Linked DNA regions of Oreochromis niloticus. The protein of the gene in region 1 purifies or fractionates together with the protein of each later gene. This does not show direct contact. Links are inferred from orthologs where the notes say so. Each region holds a gene or a part of one and is shown in the gene's direction. Other genes may lie near its edges.

Region 1 (7,967 bases):
TAATATAACATGTAGTTTGTTATCGCCCACTTAGCTGCTGTAGGGCTGAAATGCATCATGTTATGAACTGTTTCCATGTCATACTCTCTTGGCCAACTCATATCCCACTAAAACAAACCAAAATAACCATACATGGAAGTTTGGTTTCCATTTACTCCCTTCTTCTATCTCATTTTACTGAGATACACTTCCACAAGCTCAGAGGTCCTATAGATTCCCATATGTTTAGTCCCGTTTATTCATCTCTGGTCACCAGTGGCTTGGAAAGGGGGGTTCTTTAACAAAGCATTATACATAACACCGCTACCAAACTAAAACATTTTTTGTATTGAATGCAGAAAGATATTTTTTTCACCCCTTTCTTTGTATTACATGTCGAGAGGCTCACTGGCCTGGGACTAGCCTCTGTTAGCCAACCTTTGGCCAGTGAAGAGGATTCAGAGAAAATAATACAACCAACCATCAATCTGAAAAAAGGAGGGGCAACAGAGGGCACTGATTATGCGGTGGCTTCAATGGTGCACTCTTTTGCCAGGTGGCCTGCCTTTCCGCAGTTGTAGCAGTTAGTCTCGCTTGCTTTACTGCAGTGTACAGCAACGTGACCAATCTCACCACACCTGAAAAAGAAAGAATTTGGTGAGTGCGATAAAAGCGGACTCTAAAATTAACACAGAACCCAAGTATACCTAAAGATTAGAATTGGAGGGCTTCAAAATAGTAGAAATGTTGTCAAACTATAGGACCAAGCGTGCTTCTCCTAACAGAACCATACTTACCTGTAACATTTCACCTTATCGCACAGCTTCTGGATGTGGCCAAACCCACCGCAGGAGTAGCACTTCTGCTCATTGGCGTGATCGCAGTCACGGGCCATGTGACCAGCTTTCCCGCAAGTGTAGCAGAGCTGCTCTCTCTCCTTTTTGGGCTCCTTGCAGTCCCGGGAAATGTGACCACTCCTGTGGCAGTTGTAGCACGCTGGGGAAAAATTGAAACAGTTTGACATTAAAAAAAAATGATTAAAAGAAAAAAACATTTCTGGGAAAAATCGGTACCAAGTAAAACTGAATTGAAGAAAAACAAATGGAATTCACACCATCCTCAGTTTGGTCACAGTCCCTGGCCATGTGTCCTTGGTCTCCGCACCGATAACAGAACAGCTCTGTAATGACACAGATAGATAAGCAAAGCAGAAAACTACAAGAATTGAGTTTTTCCTTTCATTTTCACCCATGCCTTCTATAATTAAATCCAGTTTATATTGGGTGTGGCAAGAATAGTATAGTACCCTTGCCTCGTCCTCGTCCCCTGCCACGGCCACGCGAACCACTGGCATTAGGGCAGTGCTTGACCCAATGTCCAGAGCGGCCACATCCAAAGCACTCACTGTTGCTGCTCATCTCCATTACCTTGAAGAAAAAACAAAAAAACAGAAATTAGTTAACACATCGTTTCATGTACTCAATGATCCTTATGAACACTGACTTTCAACTGTTTTTCAGTTGTTCATGTTAGCTTTTGCATTAGTTTCAACAAAGACCCCCCCCTTTCCCCTTGGAGAATGTGGCTATCATCTTTGGCACTCTCCAAACTTCCAGTTTTGATGTGACCATCAAGTCCAACTTAAGTCTAACCTCTGAGAGGTACATGTATGGACATTGTAGATGAAAGAAATGCCCTTTACTGGTGCTAAATTTGGATACCAGTTTGTGTTAAACTGTGATCTATAGAATGTAAGTTTAGAATGAAGTTTAAATGTGAAATCTGCACATTAATCTAAATCCATCTCTATGTGCAGACCACTATTTCACATTTAGATTATCAAAAAATCTTGCAATTTAATTGATGAAACAATTTAAGGCTAAAGAAAAAATTCTGTCACAAGTACCTAACATCAAAAATTACATGAATATAACAAAAATAATAATGATTTTCAAGGGTGGTCAAAGTAGGCTAACTCTTATTGTCTCATGTTTAAAATTGCTTATGCCAGAGTCAAACACCTTTACATCACAACTGAAGCACAGTTACTACAGGAGTCATTCTAGTATAATGACTACCAGGGGAAGGGGGGGAATCTAATCTAAAAATCAAACAATAGTTGTTGTTTTGTTTTTTTTCTTCTGCCAAGCTCTAGTCTATCATAACTGACCACCAGACTACACTCAACTACTAAACTAACTTACAAGGCTTCCTCAGCGGGATCATGCTGTAATTGCCCTAGGTCAAACTTCTGTTTGCTGATAGTGCTGAAGACATCAAATCAGGAAGAATGTGAGTTAATGAGTAATCAATTCTCCCGTATTACCCATCCCAAAAGAAGACCTGGGGCAACCTAATGAGTCAGATAGATTTTATTGACTTTGCATACAGTGAAGCTTGTTTCTTTTTTGTTTTACTGTCCATCCAGGTGTCCGTCCCACTTCAACTTTCGTCACTAAACGCCTTCTAAAATTTCGTATAACGTTTATCCACGGGCCACATGGGGACACCCAACGCGCCTCGATTTGATGGAGAAAGCCGTGATGAAGTAATCCTCGTTAAAACAATCAATTTAATGCCACCCACTGCCGACTGCTACGTAAATAACCACGAAAGCATGCTTACTTAGAAAGCTAGCTTCAGAGGCCAGCATGTCGCATCGTTGATTTGTTGATTTAACGCCTTCAATGATACCAGCAAACTCGAGGTACAAACAATAGCACGATAACTCGAGTCGTTAAAAAACAAACAAACTGTATGCCTGTTAAATGTACATATCTGACTACATGTTTCAGAAATATTTTGCGCTTCCAAAACAGAAATCAAATGCCAAAAGGTTGAAGCTACGCTAACACGGGCCTAGTCACGTTGATTTTTCTGCGTACTCGCGAGACACCAATGCTGCTGGCTAGCACATGCTAGCACACCACCTCACGACCACGATCAAGAAGCACGGTTCAGTCGACGATCAGTCCTCTTTCCCCATATAGAAAAGTGTCTCACCCACTGTTATAGCGATACATTTTCACAATACATTGTTTTCGCAGGGATTTCAGTAAATTTACCATAAGTATAAAATTTCCCGCGCAGGGCGCAAACACCAAAGTCGTTGTGACGAGCTAGCATTAGCGGGCCTGACCAAGATCCCGACGCTTCGTTAGTGAGTCTAAACTAAACCAGTGCGTATTTTAGAAAAAAGAAATTCGATTAAACGCTCAAGTAAAGGTTAACATCAATCTTAACATGCCTTCGTTTCAAAGTTAAAAGATATACAACGTAAATTGATGAAAGTATTTTTAATGTCGTTTTATTGCTTACCTTGATGGCTACCTAGCTATGTCAGTGTTTACGCCTCCTTCTTTGCGCTACATGCGGTGCGAGCAGGAGTTCCTGAATTGTCATTCACCGTATCCATTAAAAGCTCACACAGTCATTGGTCGACTACTCTGCGAGCGGCCAATCACACATGAGAGGCTCTGGACACCGCCTCTATGAATCAGCCAATCGTGGCTTTAGAACGGTCCCTTTTCCCTTAATCGACTGACCTTATTTTTTCCCCCCTCATCATGTTCAACATTTAAAAGCTTCTTAAAACAAACGCTAGAGAATGTTATAGTCTTCACTTTACCTGCACTACACTTCTCACACTACCACTGCGACTGCAATACAACACAGTGCTTTTATTAACTATTAATAGGACGTTCTTCAAAAATTAACCACATGTGAGAGTCACAGCATGGATACAGTTAGCTTGCCCATACAAAATGCTCACAGTTCTTCACATTTAATCTGGAAACTGAAAAGGTTTCTACGTGACAGTTTTTATTTATCATCTTGCTTCAGTTTACTGAGGTTAATTTGCCTATAGGACTCTGAGCAAGTTAAAAACTGGTTGGTCTGGATGTCCCCATAGGCCATATCTAAATAAAAAAGTAAGTACAGCCTTTGCTCTCACAATATTTAACAAAAATGTTGGCTGTACATGTATGCCTCTATCATAGAGACTTGATTTAAGAGTTTGATTTAACACAACTTAAATTGACATTAGCTGAGAAAGATTTCAGAAGCAGCTTTGTTTACAAAATTAATACAATAAGCAATTTAGACATTTGTCTTGTTAATCCAGGCAGTTGAAAATGTTTAAATGTGTTTGATGTGAATTGGCAAAGACTGGAGTATTGTTGTCATAATCTCTGACTCAGAGCAATCAAGCAACACTGGAATTATCTCAAATTATTTTGCGTTATTAGGTCAATTAAGAGAATAGCACAGTGAATAATAAATATGTTAAAAATGTTACATTACACTGTTTTTCCTCTTATTAAGCATATCAGAATTTACTGTTTACAGGCAATCTGTTGTGTTTGTGAGTGCCCAAAGTTAAGAAATGAACATTAACATGTATTTCTGAAAACTTGTAAGGATCTGGGATATGAATGTCATTATCAATAAACCTGTAACACTGATTATGATAAAGAGTACAAGGGTATGTGTTTCAAGCTGGTGATTTCTCATTTGCACAACCCCAGCTCTTCAAAAACTCCTAATTGCATCACATTTTGAATACAGGGTAACTGATAGAGAGACAATCTGTGGGAGCTGCAAGCATCTCAGCTAACTGGTCTGAGTGCTGTGCCAAATCAATAAGTGGGAAATGCATTCATCTCAGTCTTAAGGTGGCTTTGGTTGTTTGCCTTCAGGGTTGCAATTTCTCTCCTTTCTAGTCTTAATTTTGCAGCTCACAATCTTTACTGGAGATCTGGCAAAATATAACCACCTGTAAAGCATATTTCTGCACAGATTAAGAGAATTTTAATATATCTCACTGACTGATAAACTGTGCTCCTATTGTATGTGGAGTGGGGTACCTTAAAATGATCCACAATGACAAAGCCCTGCCCTCATCTTCACAGAAACAGTATTCGGTGTTTCTGTTACTTGTTGGGTTGAATATCTGTCATTTTCAGAAAAGAAGACCTCGTTGGAAAGTTACATATGAGAACTGAAAGTAGGGTTTACTGTTGAACTGGATTATGGATGGTAGGTTTTTGATTTTGTTGTTTGACTAAAATAATCTACTAGTGCTATATGAAAACAACACGAGGATGCTTAATCAACCACTGACTGGAACGTGGTGTTTTATTTTCAGATGGTGTCAACTACAGCTTGCTCAAAAGACCTTATGAACCATCTGTGATTAGGACACCTCAGGGGACCCAGACCTGGAAGCAACAGAGATGGTGAACACATGGTGAGTTCGATACTGTCATAATGTACTACTTTGGGTAGGATGAAGTGGCGGTGTTAGATCATAAGAAACAGCTGGGATGTTTGAAAAGCATATTAAAATCTAATAGAAATAAAACAATGACGCATTTCTGTCCAGCACATTATAAGTGAGATTTGTTTTTTTGTATTAGTTAAATTTTTTTTAATAGCTGCAGCCTGCATGGCTTACCACAAGACTCCATTGTCCTTTTTGCCACATAAGTATAAGAATTTTAGCATTAAGAGGTGAAAAGGCTATAAAATTATGTCCAGGTCTACAAAATTGCACTGCCCCAAAGTCTCCAGATGATGGTGCCCTTGGAGAGGATTACTCCTTCACACCAAACCGGTAGTGGGCCTTTTCGCTTGCTTTTCAAAAGATACTTTTGCGAAAACTTTAAAATAATAATAATAATAATAATTTAAATGCATGTTAATTTTTCATGCGCAGTACCATTTGAGGAAAAGAAAAAACATGTTTTTGCAAGTATGAGCTCTCCGCACGATAGTATGAAAGGTGGCGTAAGCTGCACAATATGGCTACAAAGTATCTTATATGTAATGATATTGCGAACCCAGTAGATTCAGATATAATCATACTCACTCTTTTATGAGCACAAAAAACGACAATACCAGTAAAGTGGGAGGGCTTAGTTTGTGCTGTAGTTGCGCAGTGTGAGTGATGCTTGCAACTCTTGATATGACTGCAAGGTCCTGTTTCAATCAGTGGCGTCAGCCGGACGCACGACACCAACTTAAACTGCTTCACCTTCTTCTCCCGAACAACGTAAATATTGAGCTGCAAAGCGAAGCACTGCGGACCTACTTTTTGTGGGGGGAGGTTTTAATTTGAAAGTGCTTCGCTGGATTTGAAGAATATCCCTCGTCGTGTCACTTTGAGGGTCCGACGGACAGACGGATTTTTTCGCTTTTACCACGAATTGGAGATTAAAAAAAAAAAAAAAAGAAGAGGAAGAAAACTTTTTTTCTTCTCTTATTTTGGGTGGTTCGAAAAGGAGACCCGCCTATGACCTTACCCTCTTACATTAATGCAACATTTACCGGATACAGGGTTATTTGATACAGTGTCTGGATCTTTACCGACTTGGAATTATTCCTCTTTTCTTTGAATGCGTTGCAAATATGATGATGTCACCGAGGCCACTTTTTCCTGAAGTTATGGCGGAGCACAACTTTTTTAACTTCTCATGGTGAGCATATACAGGCTACTGGCCCCTAGCATTGCTACTCTTTGACTCATGTTTGAAGTGCTAACTCTTTAGTTAAAAACGCTTCACCACAACTCGCATTACCAAAGAAATGAATCGTTTGAGCAAGAGAAAATTGAATGGAGGGCGAACGGAGCCGTGCAGTGAAGTTTGACGATATAGTCCGCGTCTGACGGCCTTCAGGCAATTTCATAGTTATAACTGGATCAACCAGGCCTTATAAAACACGTAACTTCTAATAGCTGCTGTAGCAGAACAAAGCACTCACGCACTTCGGTTATAGCCGTACCTTGTCTTTTTCAGCAGCACGTTTTTATTTAATTGGACAAAGTTAAAAACTCAAAAGTCAAGTGATCCCCTCAACCTAATACCTACAAATAATGCTAACCTGCTGAGATTGCTCTCACCTACATTTGCGACTTTGGAGACTTGTCACAGGATCTTATGTGGATGCACCACTGATGTGGGCTTGTGTTGCTTAGACTGTCTTGCTATGAAGAACAGATCAAAGCTGATGGGAGTAAAATCTTAATTATTCTAGATTTGGCAAACACGTTTTCTCTTGAGGCTCTTTCCTGGATGGGTGACAGCACTTGTTTTGGACACAGTTCCAGCAGCATGGTGGGGAAGGTGGCCCAGCCACAGTTCTGCAAGTTCCTGCTTTTCTGTACTTCTGAAAAAAAAAAAAAAAAGCCTGTGTACCTGCTGTGACAGCTAACCAGTAACTACTGTAAATGATCTCTTCAGTGCTAACAGGGCTTTGTTTAAGTGATACCACAGAAAATTAGGGTATACCTACTAAATGTGATGACCTGTGTAAAGTGCTATAGTTTGTATTGAAAACAAAGCAGAAGGGGGGCAGTAACCTATTTATTTGTGATGGGTACATAAACCTTAAGTTGTAAGAAGTAAATTTAAGTCCCAGTTGACATGAAAACTACCCTTTTTTATTTGTTTCAATTCATCCTATGTTGAAATAATTGTGAACCTTGTCTGTAAGTAACTGTGACCGACCCCTGTGAATGCTAGAGATTTTCTTGGTTTTAATATAGTTTTAGCTAGTCTATATTTCTTTTACAAAACTAAATGGCAAGACTACTAAGTGATACATTTAAACCAAAATGTGGTTTTCTATAACTCAAATAACCACTAATTAGATGACAACCGAAAGATTCCTTTTACGTTTCCTGTCACACTTTTAGGCATCCTGCTTAGATACCCTTCATATCAGCATTGGGCCTAATCTTGCTATAATCAAAGAAGTCTGCACTCTTTGAGGTTATATTTAGTGATTGCAGCAAAAAATTGTCATTGCATTAACCAGTTATGTCTTTGTTGTGGTACCTTTGCATTCTGTGTCACCATTTCATTCAGTTGTAGATGGCATGCACACAAATCAACCGTGCTTGTCTGTATTTAAAAAAACTAAACAAAAAAACCCCCCATCTTAAACTGCATGGCTGAATGTTTGATTTTCAGTACAAGCAGGTT
Region 2 (7,829 bases), on another chromosome or scaffold:
CTTAAAAGCCTTGATGACCTTGAACAAGTAATGATGTTTACACAAGGACCTGAAAATGGCCAACGTTTGTTTGTCAGCCTAATTAAACAGATGTTGGCCTTGGATGCAAACCAGCGCATAACACCTTCGGAGGTTCTCCAGCATCCCTTTTTCGACCCTAAGAGTTCCCTGTGCATTGACACGAGTAGCACAAGAGGACAAAACCCTGTGGTCTTTCAGCAGCCTTCAAACTTGAAAAGTAAGAGATCACAGAAAATCAACTGCAGTTTCCAAAACTCTGTTGAATTTTCTCAACAAGTGCACATCAACATGTCAGCCAGCCCATCCTTCAGCTCAGATGAGCTTGAAATAGTTGAAGGGAGCATTTTGGGAAACCACTACAAGGTAGAGGCTTTACTTGGAGAAGGGGCCTTTGGTATTGTAGCCAAATGTCGCAACACAAAAACCAACCAAGCTATTGCCATTAAAGTCAACAAGAGCCGCCCTGATGTTCAGCAAGAGGCAAAACTGGAAATTTTCATCCTGGAGCAGCTGCGACAGTTGGATCCAGATGCCGCCAACATTGTTAAATGGGACGGCTTTTTCCAAGACGGAGAGCGGGTTTGCCTAAAGTTTGAACTCCTTGATCAATGCCTGTGGGACTACATACGGGACCGGAATAACCAGGGTCTCCCCATAAGCGAATTCAGGCCAATTTTAGGTCAACTCACAAGTGCTCTGTCCCACCTGGGTTCTGTGGGAATAGTGCACGCTGACCTCAAACCTGGAAACATCATGGTTGTAAACCGCCATGAGTCTCCAGTCAAAGTCAAACTCATAGACTTTGGCCTCGCATGTCCTGCGTCTGCAGTGAATCCTAGTGACTGCGTGGGGACAGTTGGTTATAGTGCACCTGAGGTTGTGCTTGGCCTTCCTTATAATGAAGCAAGTGACATGTGGTCTCTGGGTCTGGTAGCTGTGGAGCTTGCTACAGGGGTGCCACTCTACCCTGCGGAGAATGAGTATGATTATCTGAAATTCATCATAGAGACTCAGGGTCAGCTACCAGATCATGTTCTAGACTCTGGCATTTACACTGATGACTATTTCATTGAAGACAACTACAAGCAACAGCGCTGGACATTTAAGACTGACCAACAATTTCAGTACGAGACAGGATATCCATCCCTGGAGACTCGATACATAAAACTTAAATGTCTCGATGACCTCGAACAAATAATGAAGGTTAGACGAGGACCAGAAGATGGCCAAAGCTTATTTGTCAGCCTGATTAAAAAGATGTTGGCCATAGATGCACACCAGCGCATAACACCCTCGGAGGTTCTCCGGCATCCCTTTTTCAACCCTGGCCTCTCTAACAGCTTCCCATGTATTGCCATTGAGAGACCACACAGAATCAATCTCCAGAAGGGAGAAACAAAAGTCTGGATCATTGGGTCAAGCTACATCAGACGAGGCGAGAGTGACGCAAAAGAGATATTCGGAGAAAATTTCGGACTTAATGCCAAAGTCCAGTGGTTTGGCAAAGGAGGGATGCGCTGGAGTGGAGTCCTTCCTCGTTTTTATGAGGAGCTATCCACACAGAGCCCACCTGACATATTGGTAATCCATGCTGGGGGAAATGATTTGGGACTCATGTCTGCTTATCAACTTTCTTCTGTCATTGAGAAGGAATTGATGCAATTGCACACAGAGTTCCCCTCAATGAAAATTGTATATTCATCCATCAACGAGCGTCAAGTGTGGAGATATGGAAATCCAGGCCAAATCAATAAGGACAGAAAGATCGTGAACGCCAGCATTAGAAAGGCTGTCAACCGCTTTGCTGGAGTGATTATTGAGCATCCACGCTTGAGGTTTTTCAACAACTCAATTTTTTTACCCGACGGAGTTCATTTAAACAAGAAAGGAAATGAACTGTTTCTGAAAAGCATCCGCTCGGCCATCCAGCAAAGTCTTCAGTCACCTCACAGAAAAGTGACTTGAGGGATTTCCTTCACAGTCCAGAAAACCACATGTTGTTCATTTTAGGCAATGTGAGCAACACATATCTAAATTGTGCTCTCATTTTTCTTTTCTTTTACCTCTCACCACCCAACCAGTCATGACAGATGGCTGCCCCTTTCTGAGCCTGGTTCTGTCAAAGGTTTCTTCCTGTTAAAAGGAAGTTTTTCCTTTCCACTGTTGCCTAGTGCTTGCTCTCATAGGGGATCATTTGATTGTTGGGCTTGAATTTAATTTAATTTAATTTAATTTAATTGGATTGAACAAAATTTTAAAAATTCAGGTGAGAGGTCCAAATTGTAGGGAGCACTACAAAATCTACAAATAAAAAAATTGTCATTAGCAGCAAATCAAAATAAAGAAAAAAAAAATTGAAAAACATCTCTTACTGCTCTGTTTATTTACTTAAATGAACACTTGTACTTTTTTGTCATAGAAAACTATTAATATAAATAGAATAGAATAGAATAGAATAGAATAGAATAGAATAGAATTCAACTTTATTGTCATTGCACATGTCACAGGTACAGGGCAACGAAATGCAGTTTGCGTCCATCCAGAAAGTGCTTTAGTCGTGATATAGATATATTACAATATATATTAGCAATAATAGAGATGTGTAAGTATATTACAGAAATGGGTCTATTATGGTATGTTATAATGTACACAGTGTGAAGTATGTTATGAATATTCTATAACTATAAGTATGTACAGGCTGTAGTGAGTACAAGCTATGTACAGGCTATGAACAGGATATAAATATGAAATAAAAACTATACAGAAATCTGAGATATACAGTTATACAGAAATGTGAACTATGTAAGTTATAAACAGTTGTGGGATTAAAAATTATCGTATGTACAGAATGATTATTTACACAGAACTATACAGTAGTGGTAAAGTGCTAGTGGTTGTGGGTGTGTGTATGTTCAGTCCATGAGTTTAACATGGGTCAGATGTCAGGAGGCAGAGTTCAGGAGTCTGACAGCTGTGGGGAAGAAGCTGTTCCGGTACCTGGTGGTCTTAGTCCGGAGGCTCCTGTAGCGCCTCCCAGAGGGCAGGAGGGTGAAGAGTCTATGTGATGGGTGACTGGGGTCTTTGATGATTTTCCCAGCCCTTTTCAGACACCGCTTCCTGTAGATGTCCTTTATGGCAGGAAGTGGTGCTCCGGCGATGCGCTGGGCAGTTTTCACGACCCTCTGCAACGCCTTCCGGTCCGAGGCAGAGCAGTTCCCGTACCAGACTGTTATACAGTTGGTCAGGATGCTCTCGATGGTGCAGCGATAGAAGTTCACCAGGATGTCTGAGGACAGGTGGTTCTTCCTCAGAGTCCTCAAGAAGAAGAGGCGCTGGTGAGCCTTCTTGACCAGCTTGGAGCAGTTGGTCATCCAGATGAGATCCTCGGAGATGTGGACTCCCAGGAACTTGAAGCTGCTCACACGCTCCACAGCCATCCCCTTAATGTGGATGGGTGGATGTGGGTCAGCATTCCTCCTGTAGTCCACGATGAGCTCCTTAGTCTTCTCAGTGTTAAGCAGCAGGTTGTTTGTGTCGCACCACTCAGCCAGACGATCCACCTCCTCCCTGTAGGCGGTCTCATCGTTGTTGCTGATGAGGCCAATCACCGTGGTGTCATCTGCAAACTTAATGATGGTGTTGGAACCATCAGCAGGTCTGCAGTCGTGGGTGAAGAGGGAGTAGAGGAAAGGGCTCATCACACAGCCTTGTGGTACACCGGTGTTCATTGTGATTGTTGATGAGCAGCGGTTATCCAGTCGGACATGTTGGGGGCGGTTGGTCAGGAAGTCCAGTAACCATTTGCAGATGAGGGAACTGATGCCCAGGTCTGTCAGTTTCCTGATGTGAACACCAAGGAGTTAGTTGGCCTGCACTAACTACTGGCATACTATTATTCTGTGGCAAAACCCTGTCAAATCTGCCTTGGTGCACCTGTTGAAAAACTGCATCTAAATCCAAGACCCTAACTCCCATCAAAACAGCTTTTGAACTATGAGGATCCCAAGGAATTGTTCTACACAACAGTGTCTCTTTTATCCTTGTGGTGTCAAAAATGTGATGACAGAAGCAATTTAAAAAGTGGGGTCGTTCCTGCTGTTGAGACAAACTCCTGACTAAAAATACAATGTGTTTCTATGGGTCAGTTAGAAGGTTATCCCTCTACTTTGAGCCACACAATTCAAAAAGTTCAAATCTCTGAGCGTTGGCTCTAGGTCAACGTATGTCAAAGTAGATAGAGTTGGAAGAGGAGTAAGTTGAATGAGAATTTGAAGGGTCTCCCCATTGAAATCCGTTATAATTTTTTGTTGAATAAAGTTGAATAATTTAAAAAATATAAAAGTTAAAAGTGAGAAAAATAGAAGCAGTAATGTCCAAAAGAAGAGGAATCGAATGGTGGTTGAATGGTTTTTCTACGTTGAACGGTTTTGAAGGAGTTAGATGCCAAAAAACGTATGGAATATATAAAACGGAATAATAAAGATTACAACAACAATACTGTGAATGCTAATAATTCATTATATTTGTAATATTTCATGACAAATGATAGAAATTTGACAAAGCAAGTAAACAACAGGAAATCAGAAATGCCATCTGTCGTACTTTACTTGTGTTTCTTTGGTGAGGTAGCTTAAAGTCATTGACTTGGGTTTCATTATAGTAACACATGACGGTAAGAGTGCCCCCGTGTGGTGTTTTACGATCACTGCGCGGTGAAACGAGAATCGCTCTGTTTGTCCTTTGTTGTCACCCGTCTGTAGCTCGCTGCCTCGCTGAAGTCGCTCCACCTCTGCCTCTCCGGCTTTGTACCCAGAGTTGAACCCACGCCGCGGCTACCTTCTCTAGGATACCGGGGCTGCTAAAAATTTGAAAATGGCCCTCCACGTCCCAAAAGCTCCGGGCTTTGCCCAGATGTTAAAGGATGGCGCCAAGGTGGGGTTAAATTAGGAATATCGGGCTCGTAGATAAGCTTTGACTGAGTAGTTGTGAAGAAGCGTGCTTGCTAGCTAACGTTAGCCGCTGAGTTAGCTTGTTCATTCAGAGTCATGAGGGATAGTTCTAGAAAGCGGCAGCCAGGCCGCCCAGCCGGCTGCTGGACGAAGGTCTGTTAGGGAAGATGAAATGCTTATTCTTGATATTTCACTGTCTCCCTTCAGTCTAAACCGTGCTAAATATAGCAGCAGCAGCGGTTGAGCTGCTGTTATAACGGGATGTCACACTGCAGTCACACCCAGCTAGCATTCAGCTAACTGTCAGTACTGTCAGCTTAAAGTGATGCCGATGCTTAATGGAATGCTTACATTCTCAGACTATCCATATTATATCCAGTTATTTGCTTTTAACATATTCATGGTTAGGTAGTAAGCTAAATATATTAGTCTGACGTGGAAATGAACGGTAATGCACCTGTCTTGAAAAGCTGATTTCTTGTCTGTTAAAGCACTTTTCAGGTCTTGAAGAGGCTGTCTTCCGTAATATCAGAGCTTGTAAGGAACTTTCTCAAACCACCCGCACTGCCTATGGGCCCAACGGTAAGTTTGGTCTGCCTACAGCCTATTAGGGTCGTGCTCTGCAAAGATATCAAAGCAGCACCCGTTAAATGAAGTGTTTTCTTTTAGGTATGAACAAAATGGTCATCAACCATTTAGAGAAGCTGTTTGTCACCAATGACGCTGCAACAATTCTCAGAGAGCTTGAGGTGAGGAGACAATGTTGTGCACCTCACTGAAATTCAGCTGAGTGCATAATAAATGTATGAATTTAACTGTTTATGTAAATTCTTGTTTGTTTTACAGGTGCAGCATCCCGCAGCTAAAATGATTGTAATGGCGTCCCACATGCAAGAACAGGAAGTCGGCGATGGTACCAACTTTGTCCTGGTGTTTGCTGGAGCTCTGCTGGAGCTGGCTGAAGAGCTCCTTAGAATGGGCTTGTCTGTTTCAGAGGTAAACAAGATAATATTAGTAAAGTAGCATGGCTTAATGTCATACATGTGCATGTCACAGTGCTATGATTGGTGCATTTTCTCAGTGCCCCCTTTTTCTTCTTTGCCACAGGTGATTGAAGGCTACGAGAAGGCTTGTAAGAAGACTCTGGAGATCCTGTCAGACTGTGTTTGCTCCTCAGCCAAGAACCTCCATAACATTAATGAAGCCAAGTCGCTCATCCGTACAGCAGTCATGAGTAAACAGTACGGCAACGAAGACTTCCTTGCCAACCTCATTGCAGAGGCCTGTGGTGAGTCAGAAGTGCACACTATCTCAGACTCGATTGTCTCGATTTTAGCATTGCCTTGGTATTTTTCTGACTTCCTTTTTCTCCCCTCTTTGTGCAGTATCAATCTTCCCAGAGTCCGGCAATTTCAATGTTGATAACGTCAGAGTATGCAAGATTTTGGTAAGCAGCATCTTCTGTTGGTTTTATTTTGTGTGCGTATGCAGTTTGGCCTCTATTAACATTTGTGGTCATTTTAGGGTTGTGGGGTGACGGCATCCTCTATGCTTCATGGCATGGTTTTTAAGAAAGAGGCAGAGGGAGACGTCACATCAGTGAAAGAAGCCAAGATCGCCGTTTTCTCCTGCCCCTTCGACTGCATGGTGACAGAGACCAAGGTAAGTGGAGGTGACTGATATATAAAGTTTAATGAAGATGATGCTGACATTGCTCTCTGTGCTGACGATAGTCCCTTCTGTTCCACAGGGCACAGTGTTGATAAATAATGCACAGGAGCTCATGGACTTCAGTAAAGGAGAGGAGGATTTGATGGAAGCTAACGTGAAGGCGATCAAGGAGGCTGGTGCCACTGTGGTGGTAACTGGGGGGAAAGTGGCTGACATGGCGCTGCACTACGCCAACAAGTACAAACTCATGGTGGTCAGGTAAGAACTACAAAGCCTAAAGTGGGCAGGGAATGTATCTTATACAAAGCGCAAGACATTTAAGGCAAATTCAGTCTGAGTTTCTGCTTCTAGTCGAGCTTATTGTTTTATGTAATTTGCTTAAGAGATCACGTTTCTCCCAAGTAAAGGATTGATCTTTTTGCTAATACAGATGGTCTTTTCATGGCCACGTAGGACTAAAACTTTTATTTTGAAGGTGCAAGATGTAACTGTATCTGCATTTCTTTTAGGAAATTTAAATAAATATCTGATGCTGTATGTTAAATATTACATGATTTATAATAATATAATATAATGTATCTTTGGCATTGTGTGTTTCCCAGCCATAAACGTTCTTTTTTCCTTCTCGTCAGGCTTAACTCCAAGTGGGACCTCAGGAGGTTATGCAAGACTGTGGGAGCTGTAGCTCTGCCCAAGATGGTGAGTGTACACTTGTGTTTATCAGATCAGGCATTTGAAAGAGCCGTCCATTTTTAACCATAAATACATTTTTGTCATCCTTAGATGGCTCCGACTCCGGATGAGATGGGTCACTGTGACAGTGTATATCTGACTGAGGTGGGAGACACTCAGGTGGTGGTCTTCAAACATGGTAAATGACTCCTTTCTTCAGGCTTGTGAATCTTTAATTTAAACCTTTCTGAGTTAACCTGTTGGTTGGTGCTGACACTTTCAAACAGATAAAGAGGATGGTGTCATCTCAACCGTGGTGATCAGAGGTTCCACTGACAACCTCATGGATGATATTGAGAGGGCTGTAGATGATGGAGTCAACACCTTTAAAGTTCTGGTCAGGGTAAGTAGACATAAGTCAGAGTGGGGTTTTTTTTTTTTGTTTTTTGTTTTTTTTGTTGGGATTGTTTTTCTTACGTTTTAGATGGATGGACAAATGGATGCGCAAATTATAAT
Region 3 (7,725 bases), on another chromosome or scaffold:
TGGAAATGCCTCGGTACGAAGACATCCTGTCACACGTGTCCGGAGCTCACAGCGGACACACGTATTTCAGTGAACAAGAAGTGCCTGAGCAGCTTCCCATAATCGTTGATGTCAAGCCATCCACTAGCAGTGACATCACATTTCACTCCTTGTCTGTGGCCAAAGTCCAGCTGAGCACAGAGGTGTCTTCATCAAAAGTAGAGCAGTCTTGGATGTGCAGGATGTGCGAGGATGTCTTTGACTCGGAGGTTGCCGTCCGCAAACACTGTAGCGATGTTAGTAGTCACAGCTTTCAGAGATTCGTCTGCGGACACTGTCCTCAGAAGTTCTTCAAAGAGTCCACCGTACGGAGACACTGTATGAATGAGCATGATGGGGTCATAAAAACTTCCTATTTCTGCGGCCTCTGTGACAGCATGGAGTTCGGATCTGAGGAGGAGTTTTTTGAGCACTACAAGAATCTTCACAGTAAGGACTACTACTGCATGGATGACGTTGAAGTTGTTCAACCAGATGCCGCCACTGCCGCTGAGAGTACCAGTCAGTTTACATGCCCGTGCATGGGTTCAGAAAAAAGTAAAGCAGACATGAAAGCCACTTACACACAATGCATGAGGAATCTGGCTGCGGAAGAAAAATGCCAGTACATCTGTGTGCCTTGCGATGTATCTGTTCCATCCTATGCACAGATCAAGACTCATGTCCACACAAAACACACAGCCTTGAACCTGGACAGGAGCTTTGACATCAGATGCAAAGACTGCCAAGAGAGTTTTATGGATGTACCGAGTTTCCATAAACACTACCACTCGCAACATTGTACACTGGATCCCTGCATGAGTTCCAGGACCTGCAGGAAAGGCTCGAAAGCAGAACCCACCACTCCAAGAATACCTAATGCTGTGGAGAATAAACCAGAGAGCAACGGTAAATCGGTTAAACTGATTCACATTTAATGTCTTGTGTTTGAATGTTAATTTGTATTCATGTTTGCAGAGATTGACGACGAAACGCTGACAGTTTTCAACACTGATCACACCAATGACAAGAGTGAAGTGCAGGAAGGTAGGCAGTAAACTATACATATATCACTGATATACAGATGAGGCCAGAATTATTAGTCCCCCAATGAATTTTTTTTTTAAAGTGTTGTTAAACAGAGGAAGGAATTTTAATCACAGCTTTTTCAAAAATCCTAGATTTTTATTGGTTACATTATTTTTATTTTGCACACAGGAACCAAATTATTTATACAAACTACCATAGACAAGTGATGAGTCCTCTTGATGCTAATAGGTGGTGTATCCTTTTTGCTGGATAACAGCCTGCAATAGTTGTTTGTAGTTTTCAACTAGTCTCACACACATCGCCTGAGCAATCCCAGTCCATTCCTCTTTGCTGAGTCTCTCAAATGCTTTCAGATTTGATGGTCTCCTGGCATAGACTTTGGTCTTCTGTTTAACCCACATCAAGTCAGCTCTTTGAGCAGTCCAGCCAGTAATGTTGACTTTGGTCTTCTGGAGGTAGTTCTCCACCAGGAGTGACTTATTGTTTATGTCGTCATGTTGGAAGACAAAGTAACTGCTCAGACCCAGTTTTCCTGGTTTTCTTTAAAAATCTTCTCATATCTTTTTTTCCTTCAGGATTTCTTTCACTTTGACAAAGGTGTTTTTCAAGTGATAACTCAAACTCTTTTTGAGGTTCTTATGCTTTCTTTAAATTGGAAGATAAACCCACAGTTTTAATGATTTTACAAGCTTTGAGCATTACAAAAATAAAGCACATCGTTGGACAGTGGTGGTTTTTGCTATAGCTAAATAAAAAGGCCAGTTTTCTCAGGGAGCTAATATTATTGACCCTGGTAATTTTTGTTTTTTTTCTTAAACAATTCTGTTATTGTGTGCAAATACAAATAATTTATGCTTCCTAAAGAAAACTAGTGTGTTTAGTAATCCTATGTTGAAAATCCTTAGCTCTATTGAAAAAGCACTGGGACAAATTTGAAATGGACAAAATGTTAATTTTCATAGGGGACTAATAATTTTGTTGTCACCTGTAACTAGAAAGAAAAGGCTAGATACTAAATAAATGCTACTTCGTTTTTTTTATCTCTTTTCGTCATGAGACCCTAACGGCTGTCTGTTTAAAGAGAACTCTTCCTTTAGCTCAACTGCTAATAATTATTTGCATATTTAATCCTATGAATGTCCTGCTTGGATAAACGACTCTGTATTCTGTTACAGTTGAATCGGATGACGAAATGAAACGCGCGCTGTCTTTGAGTGCAGAAGAAGCGCAAGAGTCAGCAGGTATGTGTATGCAGGGCTGAGGATATAGTCTCTTTCTCTTTTGAACAGTTTGTAAGTCAGTACAATACAACATATTGTCTGTTTTGCTGAATTTATTGTATTGAGATAAACATCCAGTACGTTATGCAATCGGTGATTGTTAACATTGCCCTGCACATTAAGGAATGAAAATGTCGACGGATAACATGCAGGCCTAAAAAAATATTTGAACAGTTGGTTTAGTGAGGTTTATTCCCAGCCTTTTGGGAGAGTTTTTTTTTGTTCTTTTATTAGATAGGAACAGACAGGAAATATGGGATGCAGTGTGATGTGCACTCACAGTCTGGCTGGCCAGGAATCAAACCGTGACTCACTGCTTGGAGGAATTTGAACACATTTAACAAATGTCGAGACAAAGAATGTGTTTGATCAAATTGATGAAAAAGAAACTTGTCTGTAGTTTTGTGTACTAAAATGATGTCAGGCTTACATTTGAGAAAGCATGAACCTGCTGCTTAAATCAGAAAGTAATGTGATGAATTACATCTGTGTAAACAGGCTCTTCAGAAATTCATAAATTACCTTCCTACTGGGGACAAACAGTAAAAGACGGTGACGTGAGCTCAAGCATAGGATGACACAACGTTCATCCGACCATCTCAATCTTCAATGCTCCATGGTTATGAAATATTTTCAGAAAGATGAAGAGAGAAGTCAGTCCTCGGAACAAAAGGCACTCAGAAAGACCATCAGATTACAAGAAAATGCTTAGAAACACCACAGAGGAGTGCTTTGAGCAGGATTACAGACACAGCTCAGTTCAAAGACTATTCGAAGTGTGGGTAGAGGGGAGTGGAAACTATCCAGCTCACAGACTGGGACAGCTAGGCTTAAATTTGCAAATAACACGCACAGAAAGTCTGCAGCTATTGAAGGTGTTATTTTCAGACAAGTCCAAATTTAGCGTTCATGCTGAAACTCCAATCAGTGTCCAGATTTTAGATTTCATCAAAACATGAAATCTAAAACAAAGCAGCTGCCTACTGAAAGAATATTTTTCCCAGGAGAAGATGTTAGAATGATGTCGGCACGGAGTGAGAGTCGATCTTTGTGGCACCTGTGAGACGTCATGAAGAGGGGGGCGGGGAGTGTGGATGACCTAAAGGCTCTGCTGGCTCAAAGACGAAGGAAACATTTTGGGGATCACTATAAATAGATTTGGAGATATGAAAGAATAGAAATGTTAAAGTTATGACATTATGGTCAACATAAAATGTTCTGTGTTGTTGAAATGATGCAGTTTGTAGTGTTTTCCATATGGCCATGCTGGTATGAATGAAGGTTTTCTCGTGTAATTTGTTTTCACAGAGTTGGAAGAAGCTCTCAAAAGAAGCCTCCTGGAGTTCTGAGAAAGTCGGTAGTGCTTTTGTAACATGCTGTTCATCGAACGTTATACTAGAATGTTTTGTACAAGGTAACGTGTTCAGAATATAATAAAGAATTAAATGTTTGTCCTGTTTGGGTTTTTTTTTACTTTTTCTGAGTTTGTCATTATTTGCAGTAAGTGGACACCAAACTGAACCGTGCAGATTTGCAATTTTGTAAGCTTGACACTTGTGAGGAGCCAGAGTGTTTCGACACGTGTGCTATAGATGGCATCCACCACACTGCAAGATGCCTGAGCTGAACATGTGACCACAGTGCTGTGTCTCCAGTTGCGCTCTGTTTTCCAGTGTATTGTATGTCACAGACTCTCTTCGCATGGTGTCATGTGAATCCTGATCTTTCTACGCAAGAATGCTAGATTATTTTTCTTAAGGAAAAAGCTTTTGTGATACCAGAAGTCTGCAATATAAATTCACATAATTTTTGTGCTCCAGAAATGTGTTAATTTGGCGCACACACTTAAGAGTACACTCGAGTAAAACTTGTATACCCAGCAATTAATGTTCCCAAGAGCCCACATGAATAATGTGGGCTCTTGGATAAAATTAACTGCTCATCCCTGCATACACTGATCTGGGTAGCCAATTCCTTTTTATGAATTAACACTGAAAATATGCATTTAGAATCATCGTGTTGTAATCAACTGCAATATATCCATGAAACTTTTCATCCCCTTGGCTGTTACAAGCCAAATATCTGATTTTGGGCAAGTCAGCTAAAGAGCAAAAGCTTTGAGATATTAGTATATTTGATGACACATACAGGTTAGCACTCCTGTTGTAGAATTGCATCTCAGGCTAACTGCAGTGCCAGAGGTGAAGCTGCCTTTGTTGGTGAGGAAAAACTCCTCATTTAATGTAAGGAATTTATGCTATAGTATACATTTTTTATATTTTATAGTACTTGAGTCATTGATAGAAATCACTGTCAGAGTTAAAAGGTTGGTGGTGGATTCAGCAAAGTCTATTAACTAATTTTGTTGGACAAAAAATAGTGACTGTTATCCTATTTTAAATCCTAGCTAGTATTTCTGTGGACCGGACGGCCGTTTCCGTGGTCCTTCAGGGGGTCCTCGGACCCTAGTTTTGAGAGCACAGTTCTGGGCTCCTCGGGAAGCTTCTATGAGGAGAGAGTGAAGGAAGTTGCAGCCCATGTTTGGAAATGTTCTCCCAGGGGCGCTGCAGCAGCAGCCGGTGGAGCTACAGTCAGCTGGACAGCTCGGAGTTGACCGCACACGGGATTTGTTTTTACTCCGGAACGGATCAGCCTTGTGACGGGTATTCATCATCATGGCTCAGGCAAAAATACAGGCGAAGATGAACGAGGCTACCTGTAGCAAGTTCAGCAGGACGCTATCCATGGCAGATCGCTCGGGGCGGCTGCTGGAAAGTTTGGACCAGCTCGAAATGAGGTAGTTAAGTAACGGGCCTTAGCATGTGCTTTATGCTGAGCCACCTATTCAAGCATTGTCGTTTGTGGGATATATATGACTACTCACATCTTCTATAATAAGTTATTATAGCGCTTAAAATGTGCCATAAAAGTAGCTTTAATTTCTTAGCGGTTTTCCGAGAACAGTTAATGATCACATTTTACGCATATGTTTTATAGGTGGATTGCTTTTAGTTCGTAGCTCACAGCCTCATAATCATTACTCTCGCAGTTTAAGGATGCTTTTCAATGGATGGTTATTGTCATGCTTTGTTGTCTCCAACAGGGTGGAGGCTTTACGCGAAGCGGCATCGGCCATGGAGCAGGAAAGGGAGTGCATCCTGGAAATGATTCAATCTCTACAGAACAGTCAAGAAATGCGTAACATCTGTGCTGGTGAGGCGGTTTGCTGACTATCACAACTTGAACGCAAAAGTCACGCGCTGGTTGATGTCACTATAAAGATATAGCCTCCTAGTATCATTTTGTTGTTTTGAATTCCTGTATTTCTGCTCTGATGCCACTGCAACATTGTGATCCAATGAGGACACGCTTTGAAAGTGAACTTTTCTGTTGGGTGGAGGTGGGTTCGTGAATGTCTGAGGATTTAAAGAGTTCCACCCAGGTAGTTGTTTGCAGCTCCTGGATGTCATTTATACATCAACCTCCATTTTAATGAAGGCACTAAACTAGGCTGAACATGCTCATTGAAAACCACCTGCAGTCTGTATCTGATTACCCATATTTCATTTTTTTTTTTTTTCAAAGAAAGCGTCCACTTGCAAAGAAATCATTACAGTGTACAGTATTAGGCAAAAGTCTTGAGCCACTCCTTATTTCTTTCTACATTGACAGTAAAGTGGAAATAAGTGCAGTGATGTAGTAAAACATGCAAAAATAAATGGAAATACAAAATTTATGTGGCAAAACAGAATTTGGGCGACTGCCTTTTGTTCTGTTCTCTGCCAAGACGATCCCACCCTGCTCAGTAATGTTGTGCTTTGGGCTCTGGGGAGTCCAGTCCATTACAGATAGTGTTCCACTATGTGTTTCCTCTGTCTAGCTTTTAATCCATTAGCAATGTGTTTGGGATCATTGTCATGCTGAAAAATGAAGCCAATCAGATGCTTTCCAGATGGTACTGCATGGTGGATCAAAATCTGACGGTAGTTTTCTGTGTTCATAATTCATCAATTTTGACAAGATCCCTAACACCGCTGATACTTACTGCTGTATCTCTTTCGCAACCTCCTCCATACATACTGATGACAGTTTGAGGCAGAAAATTCAAATTCAGCAGACTTGATTTTCTGATACTATTTATCTGCTGTAGATTGTTTTTACACCAGCTGCTTTGTCTCTCAGAGAATTTTTTAGAAAGGTTTTGCAACAAGATGGCCTTGCAGATCTGAAGTGTAGATGTGCAAGCCCACCCTGTTGTTTTACACTGCATAAAATAACTGTGTCCCTGGCTTGTGGTAGATTGAGCACAGTCATGAACATGGAAACTTCAGATAATAAAGACAAGGGCAAGGATTTGAATTTAGATAAATCTAGCCAACATGCTACCCCTTACAAAACCTAGTTACCTGTGGTAATCTTTTCACTTAAAGAGAAAGTATTTATTTATTTTTTTTCCCCATATGTTGTGTCTCTTAGGAGAGAGAGAGGAGTTAACTTTAACTGCAAACCGTTTAATGGGCCGGACGCTGTCTGTGGAAATCTCTGTTGGGACAATCAGAAACCCGCAGCAGGAGGAGGCGCTACAAAAAGCCACATCCATCATAGATGAAATAGTGAAAAAGTTGCTGGACGACATGGAGGGGAGCAGGCAGAAGCTGCTGGCCCTGCACGCCGCATGTGTGACTGAAGCACCGGCCGTTCCCATCAACCAGAAGTTTCAGGCCATTGTGATCGGTTGCGCTCTGGAGGACCAGAAGAACATAAAGCGGAGGCTGGAGACTCTATTGAGAAATGTTGAAAATGCTGAAAAGAACATCAAGATTATGGATCATCAAAAACTGGAGAACACCAAAGCAAACGGTAGTCAATAAGACTCATCACCAAAGCATTAAATGTGCCTTGAATGTTCTCTTTCAGAAGGCTGCTACTTGTAGCAAGAAAAGTGAACAACAAATATCCAGTTTTACCAAATCATTGTCATTTTTACATTGATCTACTTAATATTGGTTACTTAATGTTTATACAATGTACGTGTGTGTTCACATATGCACCTAGTGCAGTAAAAGATGCTGAACAGCAATGAATTAAGTCTCTTTTTGTTTCATTGCCTCACTTTTAAAATTAGGTAGTTGATTTTGTAAGTGCACGCACTACCTCTTTATGTGAAATCAACACAAGATATATGGATTTTAGTTTGTATTTGCACATATGAGTTTTATTTCAGATCACGTGTCAAAAAACTAAATAAACCTGTTGTCTTATGAGTGTCGGGCAGAGACTTCTTTAAATATACAGTACTCCTCAGCAGTCAAGCTCCCAGATGGTTTTCCTTGGACCTTCTTAAAGTTTTGATGACTTCGTGCTGAGATCGGCATTT

What was found. Proteins that work in one complex are often made in the same cells at the same time.
Region 2: the proteins of raf1a (region 1) and cct8 purify together in Homo sapiens (affinity purification with mass spectrometry; 4 studies listed by BioGRID and IntAct, with this or other methods). This does not show direct contact. The link is inferred for Oreochromis niloticus from reciprocal best matches to the Homo sapiens genes RAF1 and CCT8.
Region 3: the proteins of raf1a (region 1) and bag2 purify together in Homo sapiens (co-immunoprecipitation; 3 studies listed by BioGRID and IntAct, with this or other methods). This does not show direct contact. The link is inferred for Oreochromis niloticus from reciprocal best matches to the Homo sapiens genes RAF1 and BAG2.

The regions. Positions count from the first base shown.
Region 1 is NC_031984.2:13,896,101-13,904,067, reverse strand, and holds the start of raf1a (raf-1 proto-oncogene, serine/threonine kinase a), read left to right. Parts: upstream 1-4,866; 5' UTR 4,867-5,019; intron 5,020-5,128; 5' UTR 5,129-5,230; intron 5,231-5,576; exon of another isoform or gene 5,577-5,596; intron 5,597-5,831; exon of another isoform or gene 5,832-6,458; intron 6,459-7,967. Other genes in the region: cnbpa (CCHC-type zinc finger, nucleic acid binding protein a), read right to left, coding at 500-617, 777-975, 1,094-1,159, 1,286-1,403. UniProt on the Homo sapiens protein: Serine/threonine-protein kinase that acts as a regulatory link between the membrane-associated Ras GTPases and the MAPK/ERK cascade, and this critical regulatory link functions as a switch determining cell fate decisions including proliferation, differentiation, apoptosis, survival and oncogenic transformation.
Region 2 is NC_031975.2:13,928,331-13,936,159, reverse strand, and holds the start of cct8 (T-complex protein 1 subunit theta), read left to right. Parts: upstream 1-4,761; 5' UTR 4,762-4,893; coding exon 4,894-4,953; intron 4,954-5,461; coding exon 5,462-5,552; intron 5,553-5,639; coding exon 5,640-5,719; intron 5,720-5,816; coding exon 5,817-5,966; intron 5,967-6,077; coding exon 6,078-6,258; intron 6,259-6,355; coding exon 6,356-6,417; intron 6,418-6,494; coding exon 6,495-6,632; intron 6,633-6,720; coding exon 6,721-6,899; intron 6,900-7,273; coding exon 7,274-7,340; intron 7,341-7,424; coding exon 7,425-7,512; intron 7,513-7,600; coding exon 7,601-7,716; intron 7,717-7,829. UniProt on the Homo sapiens protein: Component of the chaperonin-containing T-complex (TRiC), a molecular chaperone complex that assists the folding of actin, tubulin and other proteins upon ATP hydrolysis.
Region 3 is NC_031978.2:19,992,700-20,000,424, forward strand, and holds bag2 (BAG family molecular chaperone regulator 2), read left to right. Parts: upstream 1-4,657; 5' UTR 4,658-5,023; coding exon 5,024-5,145; intron 5,146-5,451; coding exon 5,452-5,561; intron 5,562-6,824; coding exon 6,825-7,219; 3' UTR 7,220-7,612; downstream 7,613-7,725. Other genes in the region: E3 SUMO-protein ligase ZNF451, read left to right, coding at 1-927, 997-1,065, 2,244-2,309, 2,847-2,926. UniProt on the Homo sapiens protein: Co-chaperone for HSP70 and HSC70 chaperone proteins. Acts as a nucleotide-exchange factor (NEF) promoting the release of ADP from the HSP70 and HSC70 proteins thereby triggering client/substrate protein release.